2 linked regions of the Callithrix jacchus genome follow. The protein of the gene in region 1 purifies or fractionates together with the protein of each later gene. This does not show direct contact. Links are inferred from orthologs where the notes say so. Each region holds a gene or a part of one and is shown in the gene's direction. Other genes may lie near its edges. The genes, in order: UBXN7 and NPLOC4.

Region 1 (4,532 bases):
CTTGATTTGACATGGCTATTTCTTAATTCTCCCAAATAGCATATTTACTCAGGATGTGTCAATTCTCCAGGTAACTTGTCCCATCTCTTAGTGGACCATTTTCCTATGAAGATGCAAAATACGTGGAAGTCGGAAGGTGGGAGGCGAAAACAAACAGAATCACACGGAATCTCTTGTAACTTTGTTGGCAAGGTGGGGGGACATTCGATTTGAGTTCACCCCACTCATGTAATTGTTTTACAAAATAGTTAATATTATTCAAGTAACACACTAATACATTTTCTTTTTTCGAAATCTTTTTTTTCATTTTCTTTTTTTTTTTCGTAGAGTCTTGATATATTTCCCAGTCTGGTCTCAAACTGCTGGCCTCAAGCGATCCTCCCACCTCGGCCTCCCAAAGTGCTGGGATTACAGTCATGAGTCGCCGCGCCAGGCCAGTAATGTTTGTTCAAAAATTAAAAGAGAAGGGCCGGGTGCGGTGGCTCACGCCTGTAATCCCAGCACTTTGGGAGGCCGAGGCGGGTGGATCACGAGGTCAAGAGATCGAGACCATCTTGGTCAACAAGGGGAAACCCCGTCTCTACTAAAAATACAAAAAAAAAAAAAAAAAAAAATTAGCTGGGCATGGTGGCACGTGCCTGTAATCCCAGCTACTCAGGAGGCTGAGGCAGGAGAATTGCCTGAACCCAGGAGGCGGAGGTTGCGGTGAGCCGAGATCACGCCATTGCACTCCAGCCTGGGTAACAAGAGCGAAACTCCGTCTCAAAAATAAATAAAATAAAAACAGAAGAAACTCTAAGGAAAGTGCCCAGTCCTTCTCCTCTCTGGCGTTTTGAGGACACTTTCCCCGTGTTTTCTTTCCTCTACCGCATATACATCGTCTGTTTTTATACAAATGACACGTCTTAGGGTCTGAGTAACACCCTAAGGGGAGACGTACTGGCCAATTTATTGACGGAAAGCAACTAAACAATCGCCATCAAAACCTACCGCGTGTCCACCCTGCTCTTTGGCGTGAAGGGTTCTGGAATTTCACTTCTGGCGTTTCACTCGCCACGGTCGGTGAGCGGAGCCATGAGTTTAGAGGCTGGGGAGCCGGGACGGGAGTCGCTTCGAAGCCAGGACGTCGGATTTGTATTTTGCTGGGACCTGCAGGAACCTAACACAGCGCGGTGGGACTGCGAAAAAGAAACGACACTGTCACGGCAGTCGGCTCTGTCAGTGAGGCCCGCGAAGCCGAAACGCCAGCTGTCCGCGGAGGCCCAGGCTGCCCTCGGAATCTAGGAATGGAGCCCGCGCCTGCGAGGCTGGCCCTGGAGCCCGGAGCTGAGGCGCCGGCAGCGGCCGAAGGACGCAGGGAGCAGCGGCCACCGGACAGGCGGCAACCCGGCAGCCAACCGGAGAGCGGGCGGCGCGCCGGCCCGGAGAGAAAATGCGCCTGCGCGGTCGGCGGGGGCGGGGCTTGGGGCGGCCAGTGCGTCTGCGCACGGCGCGCGGCGAAGTGGGGGAGGGCGGTCCGTGTGTGTCTGTGTTGTTGTTCGGCGGCGGCGGCGGCGGCGGTAAGATGGCTGCCCACGGGGGCTCCGCGGCGTCGTCGGCGCTGAAGGGGTTAATTCAACAGTTCACCGCCATCACCGGTAAGAGACGCGGTTACCGGAAGGTGGGGAGTGGGGTCCCGAGCGGGCGGCGGGTCTGCCCCGGGCTCCCCCTTACCTTCACGCATTCCGCCTTCGGGCTTTACCCGCAGCTGCGGTCCTTCCCGAGGAAGAGGCGACGACGGCGTTGGGGGGTCTCGGGGTTCAGGCGGGAGACGGCCCCCCGCACCCCCGACACCCTCGTTCTGGGTCTCCTAGTAGTGTGGAGGGAGCTCCCCCAGCCCCCCCGCCTGCCCAGACCTGGGAATGGACCGAGCCCGTCCGCCCCCGCCGGCCCGGGGACCCGGGGCGGGGGGAGTGGGGGGCCGCACCCGGGCCACCGCCCTCCTCCTCCCCTCACCATCCTCCCTTCTCTGTGCAGCCCTGGGGTGCGGCGCATCTCTTCACCCCTTTCCCTTTCTTCCCGGCCAGGTCGTTCTGCCCCGGTCCCCGGCCTGCCCTTCCCCTCTCCGGGCCCCTCGGAGCCATCGCCATGGCCCTGGCGGGTTCGGGCCCTCCCGCCTTCACCGCGAGGCCGGTGGGTTCGGCAGTGCCTGTGCCCTTCCCGGGGGTTAGGCCGCCAAAGCGGGGGGTGCTGGGGAGGACCTGAGGGACGGAGGCTTTGAGGGAAGAATGAGGGGGAACCCCCACGCTGGATAGGGGAGGCCTGGAGGAATCCTGGGTGGCGTTTCCCACCTCCCCATAATAAAATCATAAAGACGGAGACGATGGCGCCGGGGCCTCCTGCCGATAAGATAGGGATGGCGGCAGAAACTTTGAGAGAGAAAATCTGTTTCTGGGTGTCAGAACCCCCGAAACCCTGGGCCTAGGTGGTTCTCTCCCTGTGGACCCCTGCGAAGGGCACGGGCAGATCGTCTTACCGCCTGGAGGAAAGGCCCTGAGCCATCCTGTGAATTCTCTGTCTTGTTTCTCTCGGAGGGTGCTGAACTTTTCTTGCATGAGTTATTAGAGGGCGGAGCAAATGATGAAGTTCTCAGTGGAGTGATTTGAGAGAAGAGTACTCCATGTGCCTGAGTGTAATTTCGCCGTTCTAGTTTGTCATTTTGGAAGGAGGTCAGAATGGTAGTTGTCTCCGCGGATCTATATTTTGTGATTTGTTAGATGCAGAATTTGTTTCCACTGTTAATGTTCTTAGAATTTAACGTAAGATCTGGTTAAGTAAAATTTTATATTGTTTTAACTACCGCAGGCTGTATACGAGTTACCGTTTTATTATTAAAGCTGGTTTTATTTTTTGCTTTGCAATGATAGCGGCATGTTTCGTGCGTTGTTATCTAGCTTGTGGGCATGGAACATCAGGTCAAAGTTAGTGACGTAAAATTTGTAATAAAATTGGGGTGAGGAGTCATATTATTTTTAAACTTTGTGATTGGGTTATCATATTGAAGATAAAAAGGATTGGATTATTTATTTATTCATTTATTTATTCGTTTATTGAGACAGAGTCTTGCTCTGTCGCACAGGCTGGAGTGCAGTGGTGCGATCTCGTCTCACTGCAACCTCCGCCTCCCGGGTTCAGGCAGTTCTCCTGCCTCAGCCTCCCGAGCAGCTGGGACTACAGGCGCATATTACCACGCCCAGCCAATTTTTTGTATTTTTATTAGAGACGGGGTTTCACCATATTGGCTAGACTGGTCTTGAACTCCTGACCTCATGATCCACCTACCTCGGCCTCCCAGAGTGCTGGGATTACAGGCGTGAGCCACCATGCCCGGCCAGGATTAGATAATTATATTAAATATATAAAAGATTTCCTAATCTCTAACAAATCATTGCTGTGGAGAAGATTATTGTGTATATAAATTAGTGTTGCTGCATTATGCTTATATAGAAAATCTTTGCAGTAAATCTGAGAAGTGGATATCATTATTAGTCCTTTCTCTAGATTTCCTAGAGGTGGTTTATGATGTCACTTGGGCCTGGCATGGAGCCTCATGCCTGTAATCCCAGTACTTTGGGGAGATAGGGCTGGAAATTCACTTGAGGCCTGGAGTTGGAGACCAGCCTGGGCAAAACATAGACCCCATCTCTACAGGAAAAAAAAAAAAAGAGCTGAAGAGCCTGGCTCGGTGGCTCACACCTGTAATCCTAGCACTGTGGGAGGCTGAGGTAGGTGGATCACCTGAGGTCAGGAGTTCCAAATCAGCCTGGTCATCATGGTGAAACCCCATCTTTCAAAACAAAAAAAAAAGAGCTGGATGTAGTGGCACTGACCTGTAGTTCCAGCTGCTGGGGAGGCTGAGGTGGGAGGATTGTTTGAGCCTAGGAGTTCAAGGCTGCAAACAGCCTTGATGGAGGCCACTGCATTCCATCCCTGGCAAGAGAGCAAGACCATCTCTTCCCCCCACCCCCCCAAAAAAATATAAAGAAAGAGATAAAAGCCACTTCTTTTAGTTGTTGCTGCTGTTAGTTTGAAACAGTCTTGCTCCGTCACCAGGCTGGAGCGCAGTGGCATGATCTTGGCTCACTGCAACCTCCACCTCCCGAGTTCAAGCGATTCTCCTGTCTTATTAGCCTCCTGGGTAGCTGGAACTACAGGCGTGTGCCACCAGACCCAGGTAATTTTTGTATTTTTTAGTAGAGGCAGCGTTTCATGTTGGCCTGGCTGGTCTCGAATTCCTGACCTCAAATGATCCACTCACCTCAGCCTCCCAAAGTGGTAGGATTACAGATGTGAACCACCACACCCAGCCCTAAAAGCCACTTAATTAATTTTTAGTTTCTTGGCTGGGCAGGGTGGCTCATGCCTGTAATCCCAGCACTTTGGGAGGCCGAGTGGGGTGGATCACCTGAGGTCAGGAGTTTGAGACCAGCTTGACCAACATGGAGAAACTCTGTCTACTAAAAATACAAAATTAGCTCAGCATGGTGTCTCAT
Region 2 (4,381 bases), on another chromosome or scaffold:
GTGGCATGATCTTGGCTCACCGCAGCCTTGACCTCCTGATCTCAGGTGATTCTCTTACCTCACTACCTCAGCTTCCTGAGTAGCTGGGATTATAGGAATGAGCCACTTCACCAAGCTAATTTTTTTTTTCCTTTTTGAGATGGAGACAGTCTTGCTCTGTCACCCAGGCTGGAGAAGGGTGACCCCATCTCCGCTCACGGTGACCTCTGCTTCACAACTTCAAGTGATTCTCCGGCCTCAGACTCCTGAGAATCTGGGAATATAGGCATGCAAGACCACATCCGGGTAATTTTTTTTTTTTTTTTTTTTTTGAGGCGGGGTTTCACTCTTGTTTCCCAGGATGGAGTGCAATGGCGCGATCTCGGTTCACTGCAACCTCCGCCTCCTGGGTTCAGGCAATTCTCCTGCCTCAGCCTCCTGAGTAGCTGGGATTACAGGCAAGAGCCACCATGCCCAGCTAATTTTTTGTATCTTTAGTAGAGACGGGGTTTCACCATGTTGACCTGGATGGTCTCGATCTCTTGACCTCGTGATCCACCCGCCTCGGCCTCCCAAAGTGCTGGGATTACAGGCTTGAGCCACCGCGCCCGGCCTCAATTTTTGTATTTTTATTAGAGATAGGTTTCACCATGTTGGCCAAGCTGGTCTCGAATTCCTGACCTCAGATGATCCACCTGCCTCCGCCTCCCAAAGTGCTGAGATTACAGGCGTGAGCCACCGTGCCTGGCCTAATTTTGTTTCACCATGTTGGCCTGCTGGGTCTTGAACTTCTGGCCCCAGGAAATCTGTCCACTTCAGCTTCCCAAAGTGTTGGGATTACAGCCGTAAGCCACCGCGCCCGGTCTGAAATGTAGTTTTTTTATTCATTTGTTTTTCTCATGTTAAAATTTTTTTATTTTTTCTTTTTTTGTTAATCAATGAGAGCTTCTTATGTTGCTCAGGTTGGCCTTGAACTCATAGCCTCGCCTCCTCAAGCGCCAGGACAACTGGCCAGAGCCACCGCAGCTCCCGTCTCATGTTAAATTTAAAAAAAGACTTAAAAAAAATAACAAAGGTGTGGTCCTCTCCCTGAAATTGTTTCTCTCCTTAGCTGTGCATGGAGGGAAGTTTGGAATGCTATTTCCCCAATTATAATTCGCTGTAATACGCAGCAGTAGCTATTTTTGGGTGAGATTTCGGATGCTTGTCTTTGCCTCCTTTTTGGGCTTTTCTGTACAGCTTGCGTTTCCGAGGACGAGCATTTGTTGTCATCGACGGGGCATTTTTCCAAAATTCGCCTCCTCGCGGTGCCGGGAGGGGAGGCGGGTCCACGGCACCACCCTGCGCATGCGTCCAGTCGTTGCTGGGACCGGAACCTGGTTTCCCGGCCGCGCGCCTAGGGGAGAGTCTTGAGCGAGGCACCAGGACGTCGGCGGCTGGCGGAGCCGGGCGGGCGAAGCTGGAGCGGCGGTTGCGGCGGCGTAGGGAGGCCGGGGCCGGGTCTGAGGCCGCGGCCGGGTCTGCGAGGCCCTTGGGGCAGCAGGCGGCGGCGGCCCGGGACTCGAGCCCGGAGGCAGGAGTGGCCACCATGGCCGAGAGCATCGTGAGTGCGGCAGCCGGGCGGGAGCGGGGACGCCGGGATGAGGCAGCAGATTTGCCGGCCGCGGCCTGCTGGGGAGGCGGGCCTGCCGGCCCCGCGACCGGGTTCCTTTCCCCTTTCTCACCCGGGCTTTCTCAGCAGAGGCTGGGCCCCCCTCGGCGACTTTCACCCCCTCGGCTGCTTCCCGTCCTTGTCCCTTCCCGGCGGACTCGCGACCCCGGTTCCCCGCCCTGGGCAGGGAAAGGCCGAGGCTTTCTGCAGGGAGAATTGACTGTGCCGAAGAGAAACCGCCCTCCTTCCTCACCCGGTTCCCGGCTCCAGGAGACTTCCTGGTCCAGTTCCAGGGACTCCCAGCTAGTCCTGCCCCTCTCAGAGCCAGGGCCACTTCTTACCCCAATCTCCCTCCGATTCTCTTCTACCGCTCTCCCCCTTCCCAGCAAGTGCCTTGTCATGAATCACTGAGGAGAGCAACTGCAGACGGGGACGTTACAGAGCTCCCTCCCCGCCGGTGGAGCTGGGAAAATGAAAACGCAGTAACTTCCCGGCTTTGCTCCTTCTAGGAAGGAAAACTTGACAACTCCTCTTTAAAAGGAATGTCATAAATGAGGTTGATTTAACTTTTTACCTGAAACTGAGAATTGTCAGCCGAGCGCAGTGGCTCACGCCTGTAATCCCAGCACTTTGGGAGGTCGAGGCGGGTGGATCACGTGAGGTCAGGAGTTCGAGACCAGCCTGGCCAACGTGACGAAACTCCGTCTCTACTAAAAGTACAAAAAATTAGCCGGTCGTGGTGCCTGGCGCCTGTAATCCCAGCTCCTTGGGAGGCTGAGGCAGGAGAATCGCTTGAACCTGGGAAGTGGAGGTTGCAGTGAGCCGAGATCGTGCCATTGCACTCCAGCCTGGGCAACAGAGTGAGACTGCATCTCCAAAAAAAGGAAAAACGAATTGTCATCCCTACCAAGGTAAAAAATGTCAGTGAAAAATCAGGGAAAACCAGCCCCTCGTTAACTTGTGAGAAGCTGTTCCCCAAAAGTAAATGTGATGGGGAAAAATTAACTGACTCTTGGACAGAATTTTGGTTAATTTTTTTTTTTTTTTGAGACAGTTTTGCTTTTGTTGACCAGGCTGGAGTGCAGTGGCCCTGTCTCGGCTCACTGCAAACTCCACCTCCCGGGTTCAAGGGATTCTCCTGCCTCAGCCTTCTGAGTAGCCGGGATTACAGGTGCCTGCCACAACGCCCGGCTAATTTTTTTGTATTTATAGTAGAGACTGGGTTTTGCCATGTTGGTCAGGCTTGTCTTGGACTTCTGACCTCTGGTGATCTGCCTCTCTCAGCCTCCCAAAGTGCTGGAACTTACAGGCATGAGCCACTGAGCCCAGCCGAATTTTGATTAGTATTAAGAAAGGTTTGGGATTTCTGGGGGAAGCTGAGCAGTACTGGGTGAGGAGTAATGTTCATGCTGTAGTATTGTGACAGTCTCTGCAGTTTTACCAGGTGTCAAGAATCGGTCTTCAGGCCAGGCGTGATGGCTCACGCCTGTAATTCCAACACTTTGGGAGGCTGAGGTGGGTGGATCACAAGGTCAGGAGTTCGAGACCAGCCTGACTAACATGGTGAAACCCCGTCTCTACTAAGAATACAAAAAATTAGCTGGGTGTTGTGGTGCATTCCTGTAATCCTAGCCTCTTGGGAGGCTGAGGCAGGAGAATTGCTTGAACCTGGCAGGTGGAGGTTGCAGTGAACCGAGATTGCACCATTGCACTCCAGCCTGGGCCACTAAAGTGAACTCCGTCTCCAAAAAAAAAAAAGAAAAAAATGAGCTAAAGACAGATGATAATGCAAGAAATAGAAGCTCTGCAGTGCACTACCAGTCATTGCTGAGAGGAGAAGCTAGGACACCAGCACTTGCAGCATGCTCCTATCAGCCTCCTTCCCGTCTGCAGGTGGTTGGAGCAGGTCTTTGTTTGTTGCAGAGCATGCCATTTCATCCTCCCTATGTGAACAGGGACCTGTACTGTTGGCTAGGCATTATAGCTCACCTTCACAATGGCTTTCATCAGCATAAAAACGAAGTCGTCTTAGGAAGTAATGCTCTTTGTCCCATAGTATTCCAGATCTGCCCCCTTTTTAGGCTTACCATGGGAAAAAAAAATACTTAAAAAAAAAAAATATATATATATATATATATATATAAATAAAATACATACATATTAAATTAGGATGGAGTCAAGCGTGCTGTGTTGGCCAGGCTGATCTTGAATTCTGGGGCTAAAGGGATCCTTCTGCCTTGGCTTCCTGAAGTGCTGGGATTACAGGCATGAGCCACTGTGCCCAACCGAAAATATTTTTTTAAAACCCTGCTAAATTTTACCATTAATGACCATTGTTGTTTTTAACTTTAATCTCTCTCTCTTTTTTTTTTTTTTTTTGAGGCAGGGTCTTACTATGTCACCCATGCTGGAGTACAGTGGAACCATCTTAGCTCACTGTAAACTTGACCTCCCTGGTTCAAGTAATTCTCATGTCTCAATTCCCCAAGTAGCTGAGACCACAGGCGTGTGCCACCATGCCTGGCTAACTTCTGTATTTTTAGTAGAGATGAAGTTTCCTTATGTTACCCAGGCTGGTCTTGAACTTCTCAGCTCAAGTGATCCATCACCTTGTCCTCCCAAAGTATTACAATTACAGATGTGAGCCACTGTGCCTGACCATATTAAAATCTTTTTTACAGAAAGTAAATAACAGCTAGGTGTGGTTGCTCATGCCTGAAATTCCAGCACAGTGGCAGAGTCACCTGAGCC

Evidence for each region.
Region 2: the proteins of UBXN7 (region 1) and NPLOC4 purify together in Homo sapiens (affinity purification with mass spectrometry; 3 studies listed by BioGRID and IntAct, with this or other methods). This does not show direct contact. The link is inferred for Callithrix jacchus from reciprocal best matches to the Homo sapiens genes UBXN7 and NPLOC4.

Annotation. Positions count from the first base shown.
Region 1 is NC_133518.1:80,616,030-80,620,561, forward strand, and holds the start of UBXN7 (UBX domain-containing protein 7), read left to right. Parts: upstream 1-1,533; 5' UTR 1,534-1,564; coding exon 1,565-1,637; exon of another isoform or gene 1,638-2,569; intron 2,570-4,532. UniProt on the Homo sapiens protein: Ubiquitin-binding adapter that links a subset of NEDD8-associated cullin ring ligases (CRLs) to the segregase VCP/p97, to regulate turnover of their ubiquitination substrates.
Region 2 is NC_133506.1:137,289,948-137,294,328, reverse strand, and holds the start of NPLOC4 (nuclear protein localization protein 4 homolog), read left to right. Parts: upstream 1-1,390; 5' UTR 1,391-1,567; coding exon 1,568-1,582; intron 1,583-4,381. UniProt on the Homo sapiens protein: The ternary complex containing UFD1, VCP and NPLOC4 binds ubiquitinated proteins and is necessary for the export of misfolded proteins from the ER to the cytoplasm, where they are degraded by the proteasome.